4 linked regions of the Drosophila melanogaster genome follow. The gene in region 3 interacts genetically with the main gene of each other region. Each region holds a gene or a part of one and is shown on either strand. Other genes may lie near its edges. The genes, in order: Tgi, Incenp, yki and vg.

Region 1 (8,023 bases), on a different chromosome or scaffold from region 3:
TGGCTGACGGCCGTGGGTAGCGCTGGTGCCGATCCCGTGGCCGAAGGTGGCGGCGATGGCGGCGTTTGGGTGCGATGCAGTGCCAGCGACAGGGGAAGCGGTTCCTCCTGCGGCGGCGGCAGTTCCGGCTGCAGCGATTCGGGCTCCAGAATGACCCATCCCGACTTGGCCAGCGGCGAGCGTTGCTGCTGGTAGTGCTGCGATGCCGCTGTGCTGGTTGATGAAGGCAGTCCGTAGGCCAGTGGCGAAACCTGCTGCTTAGGTGTACCACTTGGCGAGGGCGTGGGTGTTGGCGTAGGCGTCGGTGACTTCTTGGCGAACAGGGCAGCATAGTTCTCGCCCAGTGAGCGTCGGAAGTGCTCGTCAATGTCGCACATCGCCATATCTGCAAGGCAAATCAAAGCATCAGGTTAGTATGATCGTTGACACTAATGTGCATATATGACTTCTCACCTGTAGAGTGGGCCTGCTCCGGTGGTTCTCGCTTGGGTGGAGCCTGGGTAATGACGCTGGGTCGACTGTTGGCCGCGTAGTTGGTCCCAGGCAAGGGTTCGCGATAGGGTGGCGGCGGTGAGGCTCTCTGCTTCAGAGCTCCCGTCGTCACCGACATGTCAATGGGACTGTCCATGTCGCGATCCTCTCGATCCCGCTCCCGTTCCCGCTCCCTCTCGCTGTTGCCTGCCTCGTGCGGCTGGTATCCGGCACTACGCTGACGCCGCTCGCGTCGCCATTTGGTGGTGGTCAGCACCTTGGACGTCGCACGCATCTCTGCAAGGAGAAAAAAAAAGAAACATCAAGAGTCAAAAACGGTTTTCAGGAAAACGAGCTATCTGTTTTGGCCATCTTTTTGGCTAGCCCTCTGAATAGTAATAGTCCATATGTCCATATTATAGACAAAAATCGAATTTCAATTAAAACCCATAAATTTGCTGTGGCTTTGCGGTTGATTTGGGTTTTGTCTGGCTAGCGATTCACCAATGCTCGTTGCGGTTTACGTGTCTGTCGTCTTGGCTTCGATTATGCGGTCGATGAGTGGGCGTAATGAATCAGTTGGAGTTGAGGCGAGGCTGACTCTACAAAGGTTCTCCTCCACCCGATCGCCTGCCTGCGTCTATGTATCCAAATCTCTACCCCCCCCTGGCCCGCTCTGTCCTGCAAGTTTGTTGCCTAAGTCTTTCGTTTTTTTGAATGAACCTCTGCCAAAAGCTGCAAAGTCGCGGAGCGGCAGAGAGCGGCAAGAGCGGGCAGGAGGAAGAGTTTAAGGCAGCACAGAAATTATGCACAAGAAGACGTAGCCGTCATCGGCAAAAAATATGAATAAAAATAAAACAAAAAAAACGGCACACACACACTCGAACAAATAAATAATAACAACAGAAAAAGCATATACAATCGAAACTCCAAGGCACCAACAAAATTGGTTACGAAAACTCGTTTGGTCTACGCTCTTTTTCGAGTTCGCCTGGGTTGTATGTGTGTGTGTGTGTGTGTATTAAAGTCTGGGCCTGGCCTACACTGAGCGAAACGCAGGAACGTGCCTGGCCTGCCAATGGGCGATTGACCGAGCTGCCGGCGTGGGAAGCGGCCAAAACGGAGCGTGGGCATCCCGTCGGGATGAAAGATCCATCTGCTCCAGGCGCTCAGTGTAGCTGCTGCTGCAGCTTGCCAGGAAACCAAGTTTATAAATAAAGCAAAAGGCTGGCAGCGGGAAGCCAGGTCCCAGAACCCAGTTTCTCGGCCGATATCGAAGGGGCAGGCAAACCAGTCGGGCGACTTCTGCACATTTCGAGCAGCGCAGAGAACCCCGTTTGGAGGAGGAGTAGCTGCAGTCCCAGGAACCCAGGCATGAATGAATGAATGAATGGCTGGATTGGGATGGAGGCGGTTGGCGTTGGCGGAGGAGCAGGAGCAGGAGGAGTGGTAGGAGCAGGCGGGAGCGTTGTCCTGTTTTTGGCAACGTCACTGCGGGGCTGCCATATATTACTACCTCTGCGAGTCCAACCAAACCGGCGAGGCAGAGGAGCACCAGTAAGAGGAGCCAAGAAACTGGTCTGTCCCGAGTGGAGCACTGGGCGCAGAGGATGACGAGGAGGTGGAGGAGGAGGGCGGAGGCAGTGAAGTTGGAGTTGCAGGCCAAGAGGCATTAAAAACCAACAAACACGGAGGCTGGGAGCAAACTTGGGCTTGGACTCGGGCTCGGGCTCGGGCTCAAGCGGATGATGATGGGGATGATGATAATAATAAAGAAACATTCAAATTTTATTGCACATTTCCGGTCGTCGGACGTCGCCGTCTGTTGGGGGATCGGCGGTTCGACAGCGAAAACAACAACCACAACAACGAAGACGAAAACGACAACGATGGAGCATGGAGCATGGAGCATGGAAGTTGGAACATTAAGCTTTCTTTTTGAGGCTCCCCCTCTTTTGCGGATTGTGGTCTGCAGCTCCCTATCTCACCTTCGCCGCCACCGCATTTTCAGCATCCTCTCGGCATTGTTTATTTGTTCTGCTGCCAGCGTTTTAATCATTTCTGTATCGGCTAATTGGCGATAAAGGGGAAGTCGATTGAATGGCAGGCCGTTTCGAAATTAAGGGGGAGTTCGTAAAAGGGAGCTCGAAATGGGGTTACATCGATGATATAAGCAAGGGACAGTCGTGGGATCCAGGCGATGTAGGATGTAGTGACAGTTAGCTTGTACTCCGAACAGAAAAATCAAACGATTTAAAGGTAGAAACCAGGTTTTGGCATTTGTAAAATGAATTGAAGCCATAAAGAACGACTTGAATAAACAATAAAAAAACAACCGCAAAGTTGAATAATTAAGAAACCAATCTATACATTCGTATTTAAGGTTTTGTCATCAGGTCTTCTATTCTATAATTCGTATAAGTATATAATCGATACAGGGTTATTTCGTTAGTTTTTGATACCCATTTATTTTTATAGAGATGCATATAAATGGTAAATTTATCTGCCTTCATTTCAATGTTTTGTGGATAGCAATTACAAGGAAAGCATTACTTCCCTAATATTCCTATAAACAACAAATTTAGCAAATAATAGACTTTTCAATTGATAATGTTAGATGTTAAAATAAATCCAAGTATTTTAGAAACTTTGCCCATAACAATTAGAGTACATTATTATTGTACAAAAAAATCGAACCATTATTTCAGGCGAAACATTTCACAATTTCCGGTAACGGTGGGCCAATCTCAAAACTTCTTCACCGCTGAGGTGATATATCAGCTGTCTGGCGAGATTTGAAAGCGCCGGCCCAGTGAGATCCCAATATCTGGTTCCGACCCGAAGGGAACGCGCGAAAGAGAGGGGAGGAGAGGCGGAAAGAGAGAGACGGCGCGAGAGTGACAAAACTCAAGCAGACTTGCATGCTTATAAGTTTTGGCCTGTTCGGAGTGTAAGATTGTACTACAAATGGCTTCAAAGCAATAGCAATAGCAATGGGAACAGCATTTTGTGGCTTATGCAAACAAGTTGTTGCTGCTCTGGTTGTTGTAGCTTTTGTAGCTTTGTGTACACATTTATTTTTCCATCATCGTCGCCGCCGCCACCGTCACCGCCATCGCAGGCGTTTTTCATTATTTATATATTTTACGTTTATTTTTCTTTACTCGCGCCGGCTAGTGAGTCATGCCCGTAACCACGTATCCGATCCCCAAGCCCCCGATCCCTGCCAGACTTTCCGCTATACCCGCACCGCATTACCCGCTGGCCGAGTTGATTGCAAATCTGGTTTTAATATGTCAACAAATTAACAAAAGCAAAGCAAAACCGAGTCGAGCCAAGCACAGCGGCTCCAAGCCCCAAACCAAGCCCCCCCCCCCCCCTTCCCAATCCAAGTTCCACCTCATCGTTTTTATTTTTTTTTTATGGAGGTTTAATGTTTAAACAGGCGCTCATTTTTTGCTCTTTCTCGGGCTGCTCTTTTTTTCCAGTGATTTTTGTGTTTGCCTGGCGTCGCCATGTAATTGAAAGCATTTGTGTGATTTGTGCAATGTCGCCAATTAACGCGGTGGAACTGGAGTGTGAGTGTGTTTGTCTGCTCGTTTGCCAATTCGAGCCCGAAGCCAATCGTTGGCGACGGGGGAGCGCAGTAAAAGTGTTGCCAATTTCATTACCAATTTTCCAGTTGGCACAAGCCAAGTAGAGACGCCATCGATACGCTCTTGCAGCCGGCGTGACCGATTGCGTTAGCTGCCGTTGCCAATCTGCGTCTGAGTCCCAATCCCAATCGTCATCACGTTCACGTCCACGTCCTGGCCACACGCCGCCCACTAACTGATAAAGCGAGGCTTAGCGAATCGCTTCCGATATCCCATTCATGAGCGCAGTGGGTGAGTGATTATCGTGGCCATGTGGCCAAAGGAAAGGGCACGTTCGCCGATCCATTGAACTTCAGCACCGATCAGGCGAATGAGTGTAGCCTCCACGTGAGCAGCAGGTGCAGCAACGTGGTCTTCGCTTGTCCTGCTCTTCGCTGCACTTTGCCTGCCTCCATCCACCCAAGATAATTGCGAACATATTATGTGGTAACCTAGAACCACACGTGTTGTTTACTTCAAGGAACAGTCATGCCAAGAAGTGGAAAGAGTTTGAATGTTCATTCGGTGATATACGTATACTATTTAACAAGATGCTTGTAAGATTTCAATACTCTGGTCTGCAAAGAGTTTATATAAACAATATTGTCTTTGTTTTGGCTTCTTATTTGTTCGGTTTTTAAAGCTGCAATTAAAGATCTTGTTGTAATGAGATTTCAACTAGAAATCAGGTAACAAGAACATCCCCTATGCTGTCATAGGAAACTTTGGGTTAAATGGAAAGAACTTTGTGTTTTTTTATGCTGGATTTTATACTTAAAGATTCAAAGCTTCGTTGAAATGTGTAATTAAACATCTTTAGATGTTTCTAAATGTTTCTACTATAGTTTAAAATTTTCATTTAGTTAAAAACTGACAGGTGGTTTAAAGCTAGAATGACACTGACAGGGTGTTACCTCTTTCAATTTGAAATCGACAATTTTTAAGAGGGTTTATACTAGAGTTTGAATTCATTTAAGCACACTGTTGTTGATAAACAATTGTTACAAACAATTCTGATATTTATTTACCTAAAATTGAAGCGTACCATTTACCGACAGGATGGCTATTAATAATCGTTATAATAAATCGTAACAACGTTGTAGAACCCTGAACATTTAGACTTTACTTCCCAGAAGAAGCACGGAATAAATTAAAGGTTATGATAAGACAAATTAGTGAAACTACACGAATCCGAAAAATGGAATTACGAAGAAGGGGATCTCACATTTGAAAGAATACAAACAAACTATCCCCTGCCATTGTGGCCTCATGTGCAATCTTCCTAATGAATTGTAAGCAAGTTTCACTGGCAAGATCACCCGTATGTGACAGTTTCAACCTTTCAGTCCCCCGAGGTCAGTCAGTCGGGGGATTTTCGCTAGTCGATTTCTTTGAAGTCGCCCTGTCAAACGAACCTGAGTGCAACTGCAACTGCTGCTGCTGCTGCCTGTAGAGCTGGTGATGCATGGCGGCCGCCTGCTGGAGATCTCGCCATGGCTGCCAGAGCAGACTGTTGGCCATGGAGGAGGCGTTAGGATCGGCGTTCGCCTGCGGATGCATCTGCTGATTGCCGGACTCCGCCTGCAACGCATGCAGCTGCTCCAGCTGCTGAGGATGCTGGACATTGTAGAACATGGCCCTCTGGCTGGCCAGTGCTTGTTGGTCCGCCAGAGCAGCGGCCGCTCGGGCAGTAGCCACCTGGGCCAACGAACCGTGCGAACTGGCCGCGGACGAGACAATGGAGGAAGTGGAGGGTCCACTCGAGCAGGATGCAGATGAGATGGAGGCCGTCGAGGAGGCGGATGAGGCGGATGAGGCGGGAGATGTTGCTGTAGCCCCCCCAGCGGTTTCGGCGACCAAACGCTGGATCTCCTTGTGGTAGTAGTAATCCTCGAAGGCATCCAGTAAGCAACGATAATCTAAGCGGAGAGCCATTCTATGCGAACTTGATGGATTCTCAATTAGCTGCGCTATCTAGCCACTTCCTTCTTCTCGATCCAAATCTCTGGGGGTATCGATCCTCCCACACCGCAGTCGCCGCCGAAAAACCGACTCAGCTGATTCACAAATCACTACGCCTTGGCCGGGAGTTGGGGGCGGTATCTATCAATCGGTATCAGTTGAAGTACTTCTCGGATGCTGGGGAGCGGCACTCTTTTCTTTTTTTCTTTTATTATTTATTTGTTTTTCTTTCCCTTCCAGTTTATGATTACTTTTTTGCGCTCGGCGGCAGATACAGATACACGAATGTGCGCACACAAAACGAGCCGCAAGTCGCGACTATAGATACAGATACAATCTGTTTCTGTTTGTCTGTTGGTTTTTTTTTTTTTCTTCTGCGATTTGGTTTTTTTTTTTTGCGCGAACCGCGACTCGGGTTACAGTCTCTCGCCAGTTGAAACGGAGACTTTGGCTCTGCTCCGGCGACGTGAGCCTCGAGTCGACATTTAGCAAAATAAAAATAGCACGCTCTTTTTTCTGGCTTTTTCTGCCTTTTGTTGTTACGGCGACTCTGTCTCCGACTCTGTCGTCTCTGGGTTATATGTGTTTCTTTTCCGAGTAATGATTTGCATAGAAATCGACAAATCGCTGACTGAACTTGAGCGCCAGTTTTCGCTTTCAGAGACCGACGAACAGAACGGGGCGGCACACACGAACCGATCTGGACGCACGTTCCACGCCACAAATCGTAGTACGAATAGCAAGGTATCGGCTATAGCTAGCTGTCAGCTATATAGCATTAGGAACTGGGCAACTGTGCAACTGAGCAACTGAGCAACGCGACACCGAACTGGCGGCTTCCACGGCCAAACTCAAACTGATCGTCGGCGAGCGGCGACTTGAAGATTGCGACTGGGGCTTGCTGTATTATTATTATTATATAGGGGGCTTTCGAAGCTCCGAAGCCGCGGCCGAGTCTTCTGTCTTCCGTCTTCGGTTTCTTTGCCAGTCTTCGTCTTGCGCTCGTTCGCTGGGCTGCAAAAGTCTCCACGGGTCTTCGGGTCTCTGAAGAAACCGGGAATCGGGGGGATCGGATCTGTAGAGTTGGGGGCTTTTTTTTCTTTTTTTTTTTTTTTAGAGCCATTTGCACTTGCGCCAGTTGTCGTCCCTTGTTGTTTTTCGTTTATTTCTCCTCTTACCAATTTCCGTTTCGACTCTGGTTGGCCTGGCCTGGACTTGACTGGGTTGGCCCTCTCTTTCGCCGAAGCTCGCCGACGTTCGCTGGAGTTCTCAACGGATTTCGGATCTCTGCTTGCTTTTGGTGATTTGGTAATTGAAAAAAGTACAACTGAAAGACAGGCAAAGAAAGGGGTCCAATGTCTGTATATCCGTCCGTAGGATGTGGCCGCCACGCCCCGTTGCCCCATTGATGCTTGGCAAATTGGGCAAAAGGGTAACGAAATGGCAGCAATTGGGAATTGGCCACAGTCCGCGCGAACTCTTGGAGCACCGTAGCTGCTCTGGCTGTGAACTGCGATTTTGGGTAGGGCCAGTCGGGTCGGGTCGGGTCCAAGCAGCGCACATGGTGTGGGCGTTCTTTCATGTTGTCTGCAACGCTCTTTTGTTTTGGGCCCGGTCACTGCATTGGGCTCATTATAATGTTTACCCAGAGTTTTGCCACAAACCAGCGTAAATCCAGCAATGTTTGTAGCTGCGTGCAAAGCTACCTACGTTCCACCACGGCTTGTCGAATATGTGTGTGTGTGTGTGTGTGTGTGTGTTTGTGAGTGAGGACTGCAAGCGGGCTTGCGAAAATGACAACCAACTAGGAAAATGAGGGTTTGCCCGAGCCACACCGACAATAGAATACCTCGAATCCTTACTAATAACCCAAATTGAAGTTTTTTTTTCGTTTCAAAAATGGATCAGCACCCAATTTGCATAACCCAAGTATATGTATCTGCACAGTTTGAAAA
Region 2 (5,526 bases), about 17 Mb from region 3:
ATGGGAAAATCTAAAAGTTGGTCTTTCAAAAGTTCTAAAGAATTGCAAACTGATGGATCACAAAAGTGGCATTTGATGGAATTTTAGAGCTTATTCATTTAGATGTGTTACTATCTTTCCTTACAGTTTTTGATAGAGTATCCAATGTGCCACATGGAATTCACATAGATTCAGCCCCAATCGACTTGGGTCCGTGGGGAAGTGGAGCTACTAACAGAGTGCACTTAAACGGAAACAGTAACAATTGAAAGTGGCAATTTGGGGAGCGTACGCGCCTTAATTAGATTGCGGATTAAGATGGTCCCATCGAATCATATTCATGGGTGGATCCGCGGCGACTTCCACATGGAGTCGACTCTAATCAGCAGCAATTACTGTGCCAATTGCCCATGCCGATTCCGCTGATTTCGGCTTTCGATTGAAAATGAGAATGGCTCGTTGGAAAAGTGGGATTAGCAGCAATGGAAACATGATGGAGGAGAATCGAATCGAGGCAGTCTTTTCGATCGTCTGCGCATCATGCCACAAAACCATGCCCCATGACCAGTGAAATTGTGTTTGCCGGGCTTGTTTTCTTTTATTTCGTTTACTTGCCTCCTCTGCGTTTTCACACTTTTCACGAATCGACGTATCCATTGTTGGGCAACTTGGCTAATGGAATCGGCAAGCAGCCACCAGCGAACCATTAATTGAGCACGCTGGCGGCTTTAATAGTTCTAAAGCAGCTGGATATTAGTGTCAGAGTCGCAGTGAATCGCGCAGCGGTACTCCGCTTTAATTTTCACAATTAACTTTATTTATTCGATCATAAACATGTGCATTTACGGGAGAAGAGAGCAGGACTACTTGGCTAGTATTTCGGCAGCTCGGAATAGCGCGGCGGCGTGGACCACAGCACGCTGGAGTTTCGCTTCAGCTGGCTGGGATCGATGTTCGGGAATATCTGCTTTAGGTCCGGTGTGGTGGGCGCCACCGAGAAAAAGCTGTCGATGATGTCGGTTGGGCAGTGGCTCTGCATAGCAATTGCCTCTCCCCTTACGTGGCCTGAAAATAAACACATAAGTCAGAATCTATATTTAAGAACATTTCCTTTAGTAGTCCCAATGGAAATCAGACTGTAATCTGGTGTATTTACTTGTATATATTTACGATGAATAAGGTATCTCGAAAATAACTCTTCGAAATGATCCACAAACTTACTTCGACTCCAGGTGGGCGCTGGGGGACGCTTGTGGGTGACCTTTCCCTCGTCGTCTGTCGAGTCGTCTTCGTGCAGCATCTCCCAGGTGTACTTGGTTTTCGGCGGCGGCGGAAGCATCTTCTTGGGCTTGGCGCCGGTTAGCTGCTGCAGTTTCTGCTGCTCCAGCTCCTTGAACTTGGCCTTCTTGAGCGCCTCGGCTTCCTCTTGCTGGCGCATCTTCCGCTGCAGCTCCTCCAGCTCTTGTCGTTTGCGCTCTTCAATTCGCTTTCGCTCCTCCTGCTTCTTGGCGCGCTCGGCGGCCAGCTTGGCCATACGCTCTGCCCGCTCCCGCTCCTTGGCTTCGCGCTGCTGGGCAGCCTGCTGGTGCTTTTGCTCACGCAGCTTCTTGCGCTCCTCCGCCAGATTGTGCAGGCCCTTGCGGAAGTCGTCTCCGCTGTTCTCGCGCGACAGCGTTTTTGTGGACGTGGAATTGACCGACCTTAGGTTCGTACCGGTGGCCGTCTTCAGCAGACTAGTGGCCTTAGACGCGCTGGCAGGTCCCTTCTTGGGCTGCGCCGAGCTTAATGGTAGTGTGCTTGTCGTTTGAGTCGGTGTGAAAAAGCGACCAACAGTCGGAGCAGGCAGCTTGCCAATTTTGGGAGTGTTGTTTGATCCTGGCGTGCCCTGCTGAAGAGTAAAAAAAAATAACAATAAATGAATCACCTATCAAACAGTTCTAGAAAGCGCCAATTGATACAGAACTGGTGAATAGTCTAGCCTAATTCTGCCTGCTATCTGCCTGCTATATATGTGCAACTATACTGTACCTACCAGATCTTTTCCCCGCTTAGGGCGCATGCTGTTCTGTGCGTTTGCCGCATTCTCGAACGCCTCCACGCGCATTTTCACTGGACTCTGAAGCAGTGGGCTGTAGAAGTGCAAAGATTGTTTAGAAGGATAACATGCATGAAGAGGCAGGGTATCTACTCACTTGAAAAGCTCATGTGTACGGGTAGGCAGTTTTATAGCCTTTATGCTCGAGAGCAGCTTGGTCGTCGGCAGCTTCTCCTCCACCGACTCGTCCTCCGTTAAGAGGCTGTCCTGCTTACTCAGAGGTTGTTTCTTGTCGTTGGAGTGCACCTCAAAAGTGGCATCTCCAGCTGGTCCTATTGGACTATCGCTCGTCGGCGCAGGACCCAGTACGAGGGTGGCGTTGGAAATCGCCACGGTCTCATTGACAGCAGCCGGAGCAACTGCAGCCACTGATTGCTCTGCAACGGGCGGATCTTCGAGTGCATCCTTGTATATGGATCGCTCCTGAACCGTTCGCGAATCGCTGCTACACTTGCGCGTGCGCGACGAGACTGGCGAGCTCTTGTCCAGGTCGCTGAATCGTTCCACCTTTATGGGTCGGTGGCTTTCCACGTCCTTCTTCTTCTTGCGGACCTTCTTGGAGACCTCCGTGGATGTCGTCGTGTTGCTGGCCACCGTATCGTCCGGTCGCGCTGCCTCCGTTGTTACAGAGGAGACGGTGGTCACATTTGCCGTGGAGACCGCATTGGTTAACGGGGGCACTGCTTCGGTACTGAGTTTCTCGCGCTTTACCTTCACGCGGAGTGTCTTCGTGGTGTTCACGTCCTCTGTGACTGAGGCCTCCTCCGGAGGCTTTTGCTGCTCAGCTGTTTCTGCTGCTGGCTCTTCTAGTTCCGGCTCCGCTAGTTTATTTTCCTCTAACGCCTGTGCACTGGTGAAGCTGTTAAACTGGGAGACTCGCTGCTCGCTCTCAACCTTGACCTTTACGAGCTCCTCGCTGCTGGGCCGCCGCATCTTACGGTTGAGTGAGGGCTCCTTGAGTAATTTCTCGGTCTTCAGCTTAGCGGCTCGCTGTGGCCTTCCGGAGCCGAGGGTGGTGTCCGCCGAGACGGGCACAGGCGGAGGCGGCATCAGCGAGGCCGTGGAGTTGTGCTCGTCCTCGGCGATAGCCAGCAACTGGGAGTTGCTGACCCGAGTGCTTTGACGGGCCGACGTGTTGTTGGCCGTGGCGTCTGGAGCTGCTCAAATGGAATATCACAGGGGTTGTTGGTCGTTAATGCTTTAAAATGGCCAGGATACTCACCCTCGGGCTCATTCTGATCCTCGGCCAGTGAGGTGAGTCGCTTGGGGCGCTTTTTCGTTTGCTGCGGCGTCACCGAAGAGTTCTCCTGACTCTTCGCTGCCGGAGCACTGTCCCTCGGTTTGGCCTCCGCCTCCGGCTGGCCTGTGCCGTAGAAGAGGTGGTCCAGCTCCTCAAAGTGGGCCTAAAAAACACATATGACGCCATGTTGACAGTGTCGGAATTTCGTCTCCTGATCCTGGCTTACCTTGCGCAGGACCTCGAGCTCCCTGCGCAGGTCCGAAAGCGAGCCCAGCACGCCCAAGATGTCCTCCATATCTAGCGACTGTATCTGACAAACTGCAAATCCGGATTCGGTTCCTTCGATTTTATCGTTTTTTTCAAATGGCGGCAATTGCGACGCGCGTCAGCATTTGATAACATGCCTTTAATTGTGCACTGTTGACAGTTAACAGCTCGTCGGGTGCTGTAAGGCGCATTTATGCCTCTGCTTTCCAACACTGCACGGGCGATAAAGTTCCCGCGCAAAATGAAAAACACAACCAAAACTTGTTTTTTGAGTGAATATTGGGAGATATTTATTTGAATTCTTTAAAATAATATTATTGGGTTATTTAAATAGTTACGTACTGGATTTCTAGCCCTGTAAATTTTGAAAGTATAACATTAGGTGAACCAGTTCCAATACGTTCCCGCCACTACCATCTCTAGAAAGCAGTGCTGCACGGCTCCCCAAAAAACATATTGTAAACAAATTTGAGGGAAAATGGTAAGGGAAAGAACAAAAAGGAACATTTAAATTATAAATATAGATTACGGAAGAGAATTAATTTGCGTAAAGGACCGGAAATATTTCAAACAAGTTTCAGCAAACGTCCAGTGCTGCACAAGCACTTCCGACGATAGTATCGCCATGGCGAGCTGACCAGCAAGCCCATCTCTAGCACATTTGTTAAAAAATTTGCAACAAGCCAACGAAAATCGACCAGGAACGGTGGACAGCCAAAACCGCGCGCTCTGCGACGACCACCGTGGGATGCACATACGTATGCGCAGCCGTGCCGCGGAGTAGACACAGTGCCCGCGATCCGCGACCAGCGAACCGCCAAACCCCGAGAAGCCAGCTGCAGCAGATCCACAGATCGCGCCGCAGATCCAGATCATGGGCCTCGACTTCGACGCAGTGGAATACTGCAAAGGGGTGAAGACCCAGCAGTCCCAGCCGCCTTTCGCCTGTCCCGTCCGCGGCTGCGACCGCAGCTACAAGACCATCATGGGTCTGCAATACCATCTTATGAAGTACGACCACGACAACCCACAGCCGCTCACGCCCGTGCTGACTCCGAGCCGCAAGAAGGCGCGCTCACGCTCCGGCGGCCACCACTCCACGCCTCGTCCGCACAAGGATCACCCCACGCCGGGTGGCGGTGGAGCTGAGGCCAGAAACGGCTGCTCCTCGGCCAGCGCAGGAGGTGGATCGGCGAGCGGAGTCAGCGCCCGGCAGTACGCCAATCCAGAGTCACTGGTGTCCTACAACGAGGAGGAGGCCACGGTGACGTTTAACTTGGACGGGAAGAGCGTGCGCCTGGGCATCGACGACGCCTTGCCGCTCGTAGAGGACGAAGAGTTCGCCGCCCTAGTGGCCAGGGGCTGTATTCTGAATGCCGACGCACCACCGCTGGAGGAGAACGCGCCCTGGGCAAGGGTCCAGGTGCCCGTGGCCAGGGTGGCCGAGATTCCGGACTACCGAGTGTCCGACGCCCCGCCACGGCCGCTGGCCTACTATCGCTTCATCGAAAAGTCCCTGGAGGAGCTGGACGGGGAGGTGGAGTACGACGTTGACGAGGAGGACTCCGCCTGGCTGGAGCACATGAACGAGGAGCGCCAGCGACTCGGCCTGAACGCCGTGGGCATCGACACGATGGAGCTGCTGATGGACCGGCTGGAGAAGGAGTCGCACTTCCAGGCGGCGGCCAACGGCACACCCACAGGCGTCGAGGTGGACGACGACGCAGTCTGCTGCATTTGCCTCGACGGCGAGTGCCAAAACACCAACGTGATACTTTTCTGCGACATGTGCAACCTGGCGGTACACCAGGACTGCTACGGTGTCCCCTATATCCCGGAGGGCCAGTGGCTGTGCCGCCGATGCTTGCAGTCACCCAGTAAGCCTGTGAACTGTGTGCTCTGTCCCAATGCGGGCGGCGCATTCAAGCAGACGGACCACGGGCAG
Region 3 (4,953 bases):
CAACTCTTATCATCTATGAAAGCTGTTGAAAGAATTCAAACGATGACTAGCTTGACATCACGAAAATAAGTAATTCATGCTAAATTAGAAGAATATTTGCAAAAGTGACTCATGGGTAAGCATTGATAAAGAGCGAACGCGAACAGATTCGCAAGCGAATGACACCGATGAGCATGGATGTCTTTGGCTCCACGTAAAGCTGAATCTGCTGGGTCGGTCACAGATCGAACTCAATGAAGCTCATGAATCGCGTGCATTCTGGTCCAAATGCACGCCGCATTCTGGTTACTTGGTTACTTGGCTTGCACTTTACAATAGTCGGGGTATTCGGGTTTCGGCATGAGTCATCGCTGCTGACCACACCTTTCATCCACCTGAACTCTCTCTTCGGCGTTCGAAAGTCATCTGAATCAGATATCTTCTTTTCAATCAGTGCGTTCACTGATCGTCGGAAGCTTTAAAACCCAGAAACAAGGCGCCCAGTAATAATGATAAACACACAAATTCGTTTATGTAAAGAAATACTATAAAATTTGAAAAATATTTAATTTAGAATAATACAAAATATAAAACTTTTAGGTCTAATACAGATGTATACATTGAATTAATTAATTTTATACCATTCCAAATCGTCAGGTTTGTGGGAAGACGGCGGATTTACAATGGCCTGTGCGTCATTGAACAAGTTACTGCAAAGATTATCCTCAATCTGAAAGCGTAAAGTGGGCAAAGTGAGGTAGTGGCGTGGAACTCGGTTCGCCAACTCGGCGGTCGGCAACTGCGAATGCTTACCTGGAGGGAAGACACTAAGTTATCTGGGCAGTCGAGCACGCTAAGCCCAGATTCTGCAAAGATACACGGTAAGGGAAGGCGTTAAGTTAGTAAAGGCGAGGCATGGAGCGATAAGGAGTGTGGAGTGTTCGGCCTCTATCTCAAGATCAGTACTATACTATATAGTGAAAGCAGAGATGCCATGGGAATTACGTGATCGGCCCCCCGCCCACTGCGCACTCAATGTTATCTAGCGATATCGCTACGATATCTGTGTGTCTCGTTGTCTTACGCTAGTCGGGGTGGTGGAACGAGACTTACGCATTCTGGGATCATTCCATGAAGTCGTTCGATCAATGTGATTTATAAAGTAAAGATCTCCGGACTCGGTAACTGCCTGCTCCCAACCATCCGGCAGTGGACCCAAATTGTTAGCAATGGTCGATGTGGTAGTTTGTTTTGTAGTTTGCAAAACATCTATCGAACAAAAACAATGAATTACAAACCAAAGTAAATAAAAACAAATTAAAATATGTCTTCAACGTAATGCTGCAGTGTGTAAGCGGATGAGAACGGAGGGGCACTGGCGCCCAGCATGCAGCACATATCAAAATCAATTGGAGTATGCTCAAAGCAAATCCAATCGAGCTCCCACTTCCGAATGCCAAAATGATCAGACTCCAACCCAATCCCGAAAAGTGCATTGGCGCGCTCAAAATGGACGGAATGGACTCCCTGAAATCGGTTGTGTACTGTGCTGTTCATGCGTTAGTTGGAATGAGTTAGAGCCTATCTTATCCCTGCCTGGTCTCTAGCATTAATTAGTCCTCTGATGGCTGATTTAAGTGGGTTAACAATGAGACGCAGCCACAGGCAGTTAACGACTTGCTTATCTAAGGCATTACATCTAAGATAGAACCTACCATTCTGCTTTATTCGCTCGGCCATCAAGATTTGCTGCTGCTGGCGATATTGGATTCTGGGATCCTCCCACTGCGTAGATTTTGTAGTATGACTGCAAGTAGAGAGAACACCATTGTTGAGATTGCTGTTTTGGGTATTAGTTGAGCTAGTAATGATTAAGAGATAAACTTGAAAGACATCCAACGAAGCCAATGAGATTTCTGTGACTCACAAGAATATTTTAGTTTTCATAAGTTCATAAAGAAGACACGTATTAAATAAAGCTTCATGCATATCATTTTTAAAATCTGCCCAAACTCACTTCAAGTAGTAGATCTGGCCATCATTGGTCTTGGCTTGCTCCCATCCCGGCGGCAAGGCGCCTAGTTGGCGGTTCAACTGAATGGGGCTGATGACGTCGTAGGAGCGCTGCTTCTTGTGCACTGTCTGCATGGACATGGGAATGTCCTGCGACATGCAGGTGTTCATGGCGTCCAGATCAATGGCCGAGCTGGCCGGGGCGCCGCTGGGGAACTCTTGGGCACTGTTCTCTGGGAAAGTGGGCCCAGCGGGCTGCTGTTGGCTGCTCGGATTGGCATTCGGATTGTTGGCTGCTGCTGCGTCGCTCCGGGCGCGCACATTGTAGTTCTGCTGCAGCGAGGCGGGGCTGCTGCGGGCTCGGGAGTGATGTATCGCCAGGCGGCTGTGCTGGGGAGACGGCTGAATCTGGAGCTGGGGGATGGCGGCGATGGGCGACTGGCCATCTGGCTGCTGGACGATGGACGCCTTGTTCCCGATGTTGATGCTCGACTGGGAGCCCGCGTCGTAGGTGGAGTCGGCGCTGTTGGCCCGCGAGTGCGAGGGCGCCGGGGGCGTGAAGAAGGAGTTGGGCAGCTTCCGCATGCGCAGGGGCAGCTGCAGCGGGCGCTTGGCGTCACCCGGATTCAGGACGCTGTCGAATAGCGCCTGCAGGTTGTCGTCCGTGTCCTGGTTGACCCGCACCACCAGGTTGTTGGACTTGATCGGCGAAAGCATGTCCTCGTCGTCGATCTCCTTCTCGATCAGGCTGTTTGTATTGCTGCTGGCTGACATCGTCGTTAACATATAAAAGGCACTTATTGTATACAAACGAAAACTACATAGAATTATCTTAGCGATTAGGCACGCGCACATATATGTTCTTCCATATACGTATCACTCCATCGCGCTGCGCGAAACTATAACATTAAGGTGTTAAAAACTAAACTTCGTTGCAATAAATAATAGTAATAATAATAATTACGGAACTGCCAACATAAAATAAATTTATCCCAGTGTTGCCAGATGGCTATCCCCGTCCACTTGTCCATTCCGATACTAGCGTTCCTCATGTAATCGGCTTCGTGGCTGCACCTGCGGAATGCCAGGGGTATTCCGCAAGCCGATTACGACTTTTGTCGATTTCCTTTAGCTATAGCTAAAGATTTATTCTATATTTTGTAATTAATAAGGCACAAAACAAAGTAGATATTAAATTATGGTGTGTGTATAGCCCACACACTTGTGTTCCATAATATCAGACTATAAATTATTAGACTAACAATTATTATTTATTGGTTTATAACATTTTGTTTAGTGAAAATAAGTACAGGCAAAGGTCTGTCAAAAACACACCCAATAACAATATAAACTGATTGTAAATGTGCCTTGTTGATTTAAGTAATAAGTGCAGGTAAAGGTCTGTCAAAAACACATACCCAATAACAATATAATCTGAATGTAAATGTGCCTTTTTGTTTTCAGTGCACGTTCATTCAACCCTTTTCAAAACGATTGGCAGTGGAACAAGAAGCCGTTCCGTCTCCTGCCCGACCGGAATCGTCCCCTTTCCGTTTGTTCCCCGTAGAGATGAGCGCGGGCCAGGTCTGTGAGCACGAGACAGGTTTTTGACACAGTCAAGGTCCATCGCTAGTTCGGTCTACAGCAAAAAGTATTTTAACATTGTATATATTGGCACGACACAATTCGGAGGCATTTTTCGCTTAACAATAACTAATGTCGCATGACACAAATGTAAAATGATCGCCGTGCTGTTGGACATATTCTGGATCCCCATCGGGGGCTTCCTCTCATTTCTCATATTTATTTCCGCCATAAACAAATCAATCGGCGTCCGAAAAGCGTACGTGAACCTCCTCCTAAGGATATTCGAGGTAAATATTGCTTGCTTTCGTTCCTCAGATGAGTAAGCACCGATTTGAGGTGCTCCACTGCTGCGGTGGCTTTGCAAATGGTGCTGTCTTACCAATAGTTAAGCTATTCCAAAGTCCATAAATATAGTCAGCTTTTGGAGTACGCCATACTACGTCTGCCCTACGCAATTACTGCAATGCAGGCGAGTTCGAGAAACTATTGCTTGCCCGGAAGCTTTAAGTAGATTCTTCGGCTATCCTCAAGGAATCTGCGGGGCAGGAGTGCGCCAGTGCACCCAAGTTGCCGCTTCCCAGACACTTGTAAAGTGCCAGTCATTACCTCGTCCGACGATATGCTTGCGATAATCTTATCTGCAGATAATCCCCGATTCGACTCGTTAACAACTAATCACCTCTACTTTCAGTATGGTCGAGTTAGTATAGAGACAGCATCCAAAGAAAACCAACACATTCAAAATCCCAAGACTGACGACAAACAGGGAGTGCAACTAGTGGACGACGCCGATTCCAAAGAAGGCACCAATGGAGCCACATTGATTACCAGGGACGCGGTACTCCTGCCCCAGCCACAGGAGCCCGCTCCAGAGAAGCCAGTTTCCTCCACAAAGGTAAGGAGTCCGGCATTGCAATGGGCACCTGATTTAAACAACATTTCCCATTTGCAGGATGAAATCAATTTCGATTTTGAGAAATGCCTGGACTACGTAAAGTCTGGCGTGGAGGCCATCATCGAGGACGATGTTACGTCGCGCTTCGAGGCGGAGGAGCTCAAGAGCTGGAACATGCTGACACGCACCAATAGGCACTACGAGTTCATTTCCTGGAAAATCACCTCCATCTGGGTGTTCGGCTTCTTCATCCGCTACGTCATCCTGATGCCCCTCCGGGTATTGGTATGCTTCGTTGGTGTGAGTACATTCGGTTCATTTAGTGGCTTTTCCACAACTACCCGATCGTCCCGATTCCCATGCATGCTACAAATTATCCCAAAGGATACGCTTAAGTAATGTATTCCGCTTTAGACTGGAGAACAGCATCATGCATAGGGATTGGGCTGTCGAGTAGTTATCTTACAGTGTGAAAGGAA
Region 4 (4,613 bases), about 11 Mb from region 3:
ACCCTCTCATACTGGTAGAACGATCGACTTGTTCCAGCGCGCCCGTACAGATATGGATAGTAGGCACCGTACATAACTTCGGGGCAGGACACTGCCATTGTCGCAGTGGCAAGCGCACTTGCAACTGCAACTGCCACTCACTGCCACACACACACTGGCACTGGCACTGGCACTCACACTGGCTCACTGCTTTTGCGGTTTAGCGATGGATGGTAGTTAAATTGGTATTGTCACTTGAGCGGGGAGGGAATTGTGATGCCAATACGCGTGGTTCCAATTGGATTCGTAATCGTATCGGGGGTTTGAAATTGAATGCTCTCTCTGAAGAGAGGGAGATAGATATATAGATAGAGAGCGCGCGGGGAGGGAAGGGGGCTAAAACTTGGAGTAATTATAAAACCGGCTTTCAAGTCAAGGCGTGTTTTGTTGTTTTTGTTGTATTTTTTCTGCAGCAGTTGTAGTATTTATTTCTTTTGTTGGCTGGCAAAATTCCTGGAATGAAAACTCCGCTCGGCTAATTATATTTACATATTGTAAAACACCATCGCGTTTGTATCAGCAGCTATAATTGCTTTTTGTCTGTTTTTTGTTTACGTTTTTTGTTGTTTTTCGCAAACTTCTTTCTATGCATTTGCCATTCCCGTTCGTGGGTAATTTCCTTTTCTTTTCGACTCAGTTTCCTCCCCTCGTCGCTCTTCGACTTTCTTCACTTGCTTCTTTCTTCTTTGTTTGCTTGTGCAGGCAATTGCAATTATCATTTCCACATTGTTGATTGCTGTTAGTCGTTGTTTTCTATTTTTTCAGTTTTTTTTTCCCTTTGGCGTTGGAACGTCAATTTCGTTTCTCATCCGCGTTTCCGACGAAGAATTGCCAACTGGAAGGAAAATGGAGAAAAGTGCAGGAGAAGGCATTAACAATTTGCTAATTGTGGTAAGAAATTCAAAGCTGATGAGCCAATTTCTGGCATTTATGTTAAAACCGACTTTAATGATGTGACTATTTGAACCGTAAATGTCTGTTGAAAAGCAATTGCATGTAAACAAAGCATCATCAAGTTTCAAAATGGCTATAGAAAACCACAAACGAATGCTTTCACAGCTAAAGTAATTATGATCAAAATAAAAACCAATAAACTGGCACATAAACGGTTTTATAGACGAAGTGAATTAAAACTTGTTAAAGATATCCGTCGGAAAATAAGGAATTACTTTAAAAGTCTTTGAAGTTAATTCTTTAATTCTTGGCTTTAGCTTTTAGAAATATCTTGAATTAGGTCGCAAATTAATATGCTAAGCTTTTTTGTAGAATGGAAATAAATAATCGTTGCAACTATTGATTGATACAATAACAGCAGCAGCGAATGCCAAACGTTGAACAAACTATTGCATTGAACACAGTAAAAGCTATTGAAATGAAAATATAGCTAAGGTCCGACGGCAATAGGAATCATTTTTAAATAAACCTCCGTCGGGACATGAAAACACAAAATTTACATTTTAAAAGCTATCTGTCACAAAAAATATTCGTAATTTAATGAATAATCCTATAAATTATATCTGTGCTTCTACTACTGCTATTACATATTATCCCAATTTAATTGGAAAATAACTATAGCTCCATAATGTTCCCGTTACAAAAAACTTAAGCTATTTAACAACCTTTTTTTAATCCTTAACTGTTCAGAGCTTTTCACGTTGTACCTTTTTACAATTCAATTAAAAAGTATAGGAACAATATAACCAATTAAGTGGAATTAATAAATTAACCTTATGATGTAAGGTACAAACATCAATTTCAGACGTTTAGCCTAATATGCATAATAAAATTAAATGCAAATCGATAAATTAGGCAAATTATGATAATTATAATGACACCAGAAGGAAAACGACTGCGGTCCAATTTGACATTTCATTTATCGAACCCGCACTTACCACTTGAATGTTTTTAGTGTAATCCAATAAGATGTTCAGTGTTGCTTGCGTAAATCAACTCAATTCTCGTTACAGTGCACTTTTTGCAAAATATTCAACAATTTCACATCTCTTGACAAGGTAAAACTTGACTTAATTTTCGTTTGATCGTTTTGTTGTTGTTGTTAATTTGAATAGTAATTAAAGTGATACGCGCTGGGGAATTCGCACGTGAATTCTTGAGATTTTGGCGCAGCGGCTTCTGCGATTATTTTTAACCGAAAACGAGCAGCAAACATTTGGTCGGCGCACTCAATGAAAATATTTTCGCTAAATCCACAAAATGCCGAATTCCATAAATTCTTGGCGGCCCGATTGTGCGAGAGCGAGTGAGAGAGAGGGCGATAGCCAGCGAGCGAAAATGAGATGGAGAACGGCACTATTTTGGCAATTGCAGCATCCGCGGAAATCTCTATTTCTATAATTATTATTCTGCTTTGCGATGTGGCACTTGGAAAACAAATGAACTGCACTTGCCGCGATCACTCACTAGGATTTTGGTTTTGTTTCGTTTTAATTTTACGATATTCTCGTTTACGCTGAAATCGAAAATCCGAAATCGAAAATCCCGCGCGGCGGTGAGAGAAAAACACGGAGAGCTCCGGCTGCCGCTCAATCGGAAGAGAAAAAACAAACTGGCAAAAGGAGCGGTAAATCCAATGCATTTGCGGGCAGCGCGACGGCAGCGCAGTCGCCGCGGCATTGAAAACAAAATGGCAATTTCTTGTATCGGGCCATCTCTCTCGCACGGCAGTCATTGGACCGCGGTGGGAGCGGGACAACTAGTGTGCTGCAGTTGCCAAGCACCGCCCACTTGATTGCTGCCGCATTCAGCGTTGTATTGTTGTTTCCAGGTTTCCAACTAACGATGCCACATCGGTGTGAAAATAAAATGGAGTGCGTCTCAATTGTGTCCTCAAGTAGACGAAACTCCTGCTGTTTCTCTCTGATTTTAAAGTTCGACAAACAGATTGAAAGGAATTCGCATTCATCCGGGGCCTTCTACTTCGTCCTTTTGTTCCTTTCCTTGCCTTTCCGCAATGAAAAGTATGCGCCAACTGTGTCAACAGTGTTTGCAGTGCCCCCGCAATCCTTGTTTTCCAGTCCCCTTCCAAGCCCCAAGCCCTCCTCAACCGCGAAGTTTCCGTATTGATAATAATCTGATTGCAAATGAATACAATTTATTGTGCTGTTCATTCGCCTTCATTTCGCCGCGGATTGTTGACAAGGTGTGGATGCTTATAAGTGAAAGACGGTCTACTACACCTTTAATTGTTAGATTTCTGATAGGAACGTGTAAAAAAAGCTGAAAAATCTGTGGATAATATAAAAATGGAATACATCAAGTCGGCATGGAAAATAGCCCTACTACAGAGCATATAGGATCTAAACTTATGTTTTCATTTACAAATTCCAGGAAAGTCGGAACACAAAGTTTGGTTTTAGTGACAGCTAATATGATTTGATTACTGGTTATACCGATTTGGCTAAATATCGAAATTTGTTTTAATACGCAGAAAGTTGTTTAAGCAATGTTGCATAAAATGTTGTGGGAAACTTCTATAACTACGGAGAAAGCTAGAAAAAAAACCATGTTTATGTGGGAGTTTAACCTGAGAAAGAAGTTTCCAGATAAAGAAGACATGGCCGACGGGACTTCGAGCGGTGATTATTTAAGGGATTCTCAAAGTAGTTAAGGTAGTCAGTCTTATAGATGGTCACCAAGAAAACTATAATGGTTATTACACAGCCTGCATCAAAAACTAAATTTCTAAATTCTAATGCCAGATAATAATAATATCTTTTATTTATTTTGAAAATGATGAGAATATTAATCTCTTATACTACAATCCAATTAGACAAATCAAAAGTAGTGAACTGTTTTTACTTAAGGCTTTTAATAAAATTGGTCTGGTTTCAACCTTTTGAATAAAACATTAAGAAAACTCTTTGACCAGGTGCATATTGATAAGCTATGAGAACAAATGTGGCCTTTCTACAGACCCTAAAAGTATGCAACAAAAATATAATATTCTAGCTACACGTTAGCTTATATATTTTACCCACTTAAAAATAACCAACCAAAATATTAAAAGCAATTATTAAAGTACAAAACATACGCGCAAGTATTTATTTCTTACGAGTTTCCAAATAAATTTGACTCTAGGCAGTCTTCCCGTACATTTTTCTCGTTGTTTAACAACTTTGCAGCATGTTAGTCTTGAGAAGAAGGATAAAACACTCACGATTGGGTTTGGCGTAAAAATAAAAAGAACTGAATGCTTGGAAAGTCACAGGGAAAGTAAAACAATTGTTTCATCGAATTGTATTCAAATCTAAAGAGTACGTTGTTTGAGTCTATCGTGCTTAAGGCGTTAATCGTTTGGGATCGCGCGGGAACATGGAAGTCTTGCGGATGTTGTCCAATCCCAGATACAGCATCACCACACGCTCCATTCCAATGCCACCACCAGCATGTGGAGGACATCCATAGCGGAAGGACTCGATGTACGCCGCAATCTTGGAGGTATCTAGAAAACAAATATATACGGCGTTAATATTAAGTATTAATAGAGTAGATAAGTTTCAACTTCTTATCTGAAATGGGTTACAGTCTTATATAAGCACTTGAGCTATGCATTT

The links.
Region 1: of yki (region 3) and Tgi, changing one suppresses a phenotype caused by changing the other (phenotypic suppression), as found in Drosophila melanogaster (4 studies listed by BioGRID).
Region 2: of yki (region 3) and Incenp, changing one enhances a phenotype caused by changing the other (phenotypic enhancement), as found in Drosophila melanogaster (one study listed by BioGRID).
Region 4: of yki (region 3) and vg, changing one suppresses a phenotype caused by changing the other (phenotypic suppression), as found in Drosophila melanogaster (2 studies listed by BioGRID).

What each region holds. Positions count from the first base shown.
Region 1 is NT_037436.4:13,493,645-13,501,667, reverse strand, and holds the start of Tgi (Tondu-domain-containing growth inhibitor), read right to left. Parts: upstream 6,042-8,023; coding exon 5,522-6,041; intron 769-5,521; coding exon 454-768; intron 386-453; coding exon 1-385.
Region 2 is NT_033778.4:7,276,812-7,282,337, reverse strand, and holds Incenp (inner centromere protein), read right to left. Parts: upstream 3,733-5,526; 5' UTR 3,610-3,732; coding exon 3,541-3,609; intron 3,478-3,540; coding exon 3,297-3,477; intron 3,232-3,296; coding exon 2,172-3,231; intron 2,109-2,171; coding exon 2,012-2,108; intron 1,868-2,011; coding exon 1,201-1,867; intron 1,045-1,200; coding exon 851-1,044; 3' UTR 543-850; downstream 1-542. Other genes in the region: Br140 (Bromodomain-containing protein, 140kD), read left to right, coding at 4,456-5,526.
Region 3 is NT_033778.4:24,065,469-24,070,421, forward strand, and holds yki (yorkie), read right to left. Parts: upstream 3,018-4,953; 5' UTR 2,848-3,017; coding exon 1,997-2,847; intron 1,787-1,996; coding exon 1,695-1,786; intron 1,249-1,694; coding exon 1,093-1,248; intron 846-1,092; coding exon 793-845; intron 710-792; coding exon 605-709; 3' UTR 507-604; downstream 1-506. Other genes in the region: Gpat4 (Glycerol-3-phosphate acyltransferase 4), read left to right, coding at 3,732-3,866, 4,271-4,474, 4,532-4,774. UniProt on the Drosophila melanogaster protein: Transcriptional coactivator which is the critical downstream regulatory target in the Hippo/SWH (Sav/Wts/Hpo) signaling pathway that plays a pivotal role in organ size control and tumor suppression by restricting proliferation and promoting apoptosis.
Region 4 is NT_033778.4:12,882,630-12,887,242, reverse strand, and holds the start of vg (vestigial), read right to left. Parts: upstream 3,043-4,613; 5' UTR 1,932-3,042; intron 875-1,931; 5' UTR 99-874; coding exon 3-98; intron 1-2. Other genes in the region: AspRS (Aspartyl-tRNA synthetase), read right to left, coding at 4,338-4,501. UniProt on the Drosophila melanogaster protein: Involved in determining which thoracic imaginal disk cells will form wings and halteres, perhaps by interacting with other nuclear regulatory proteins.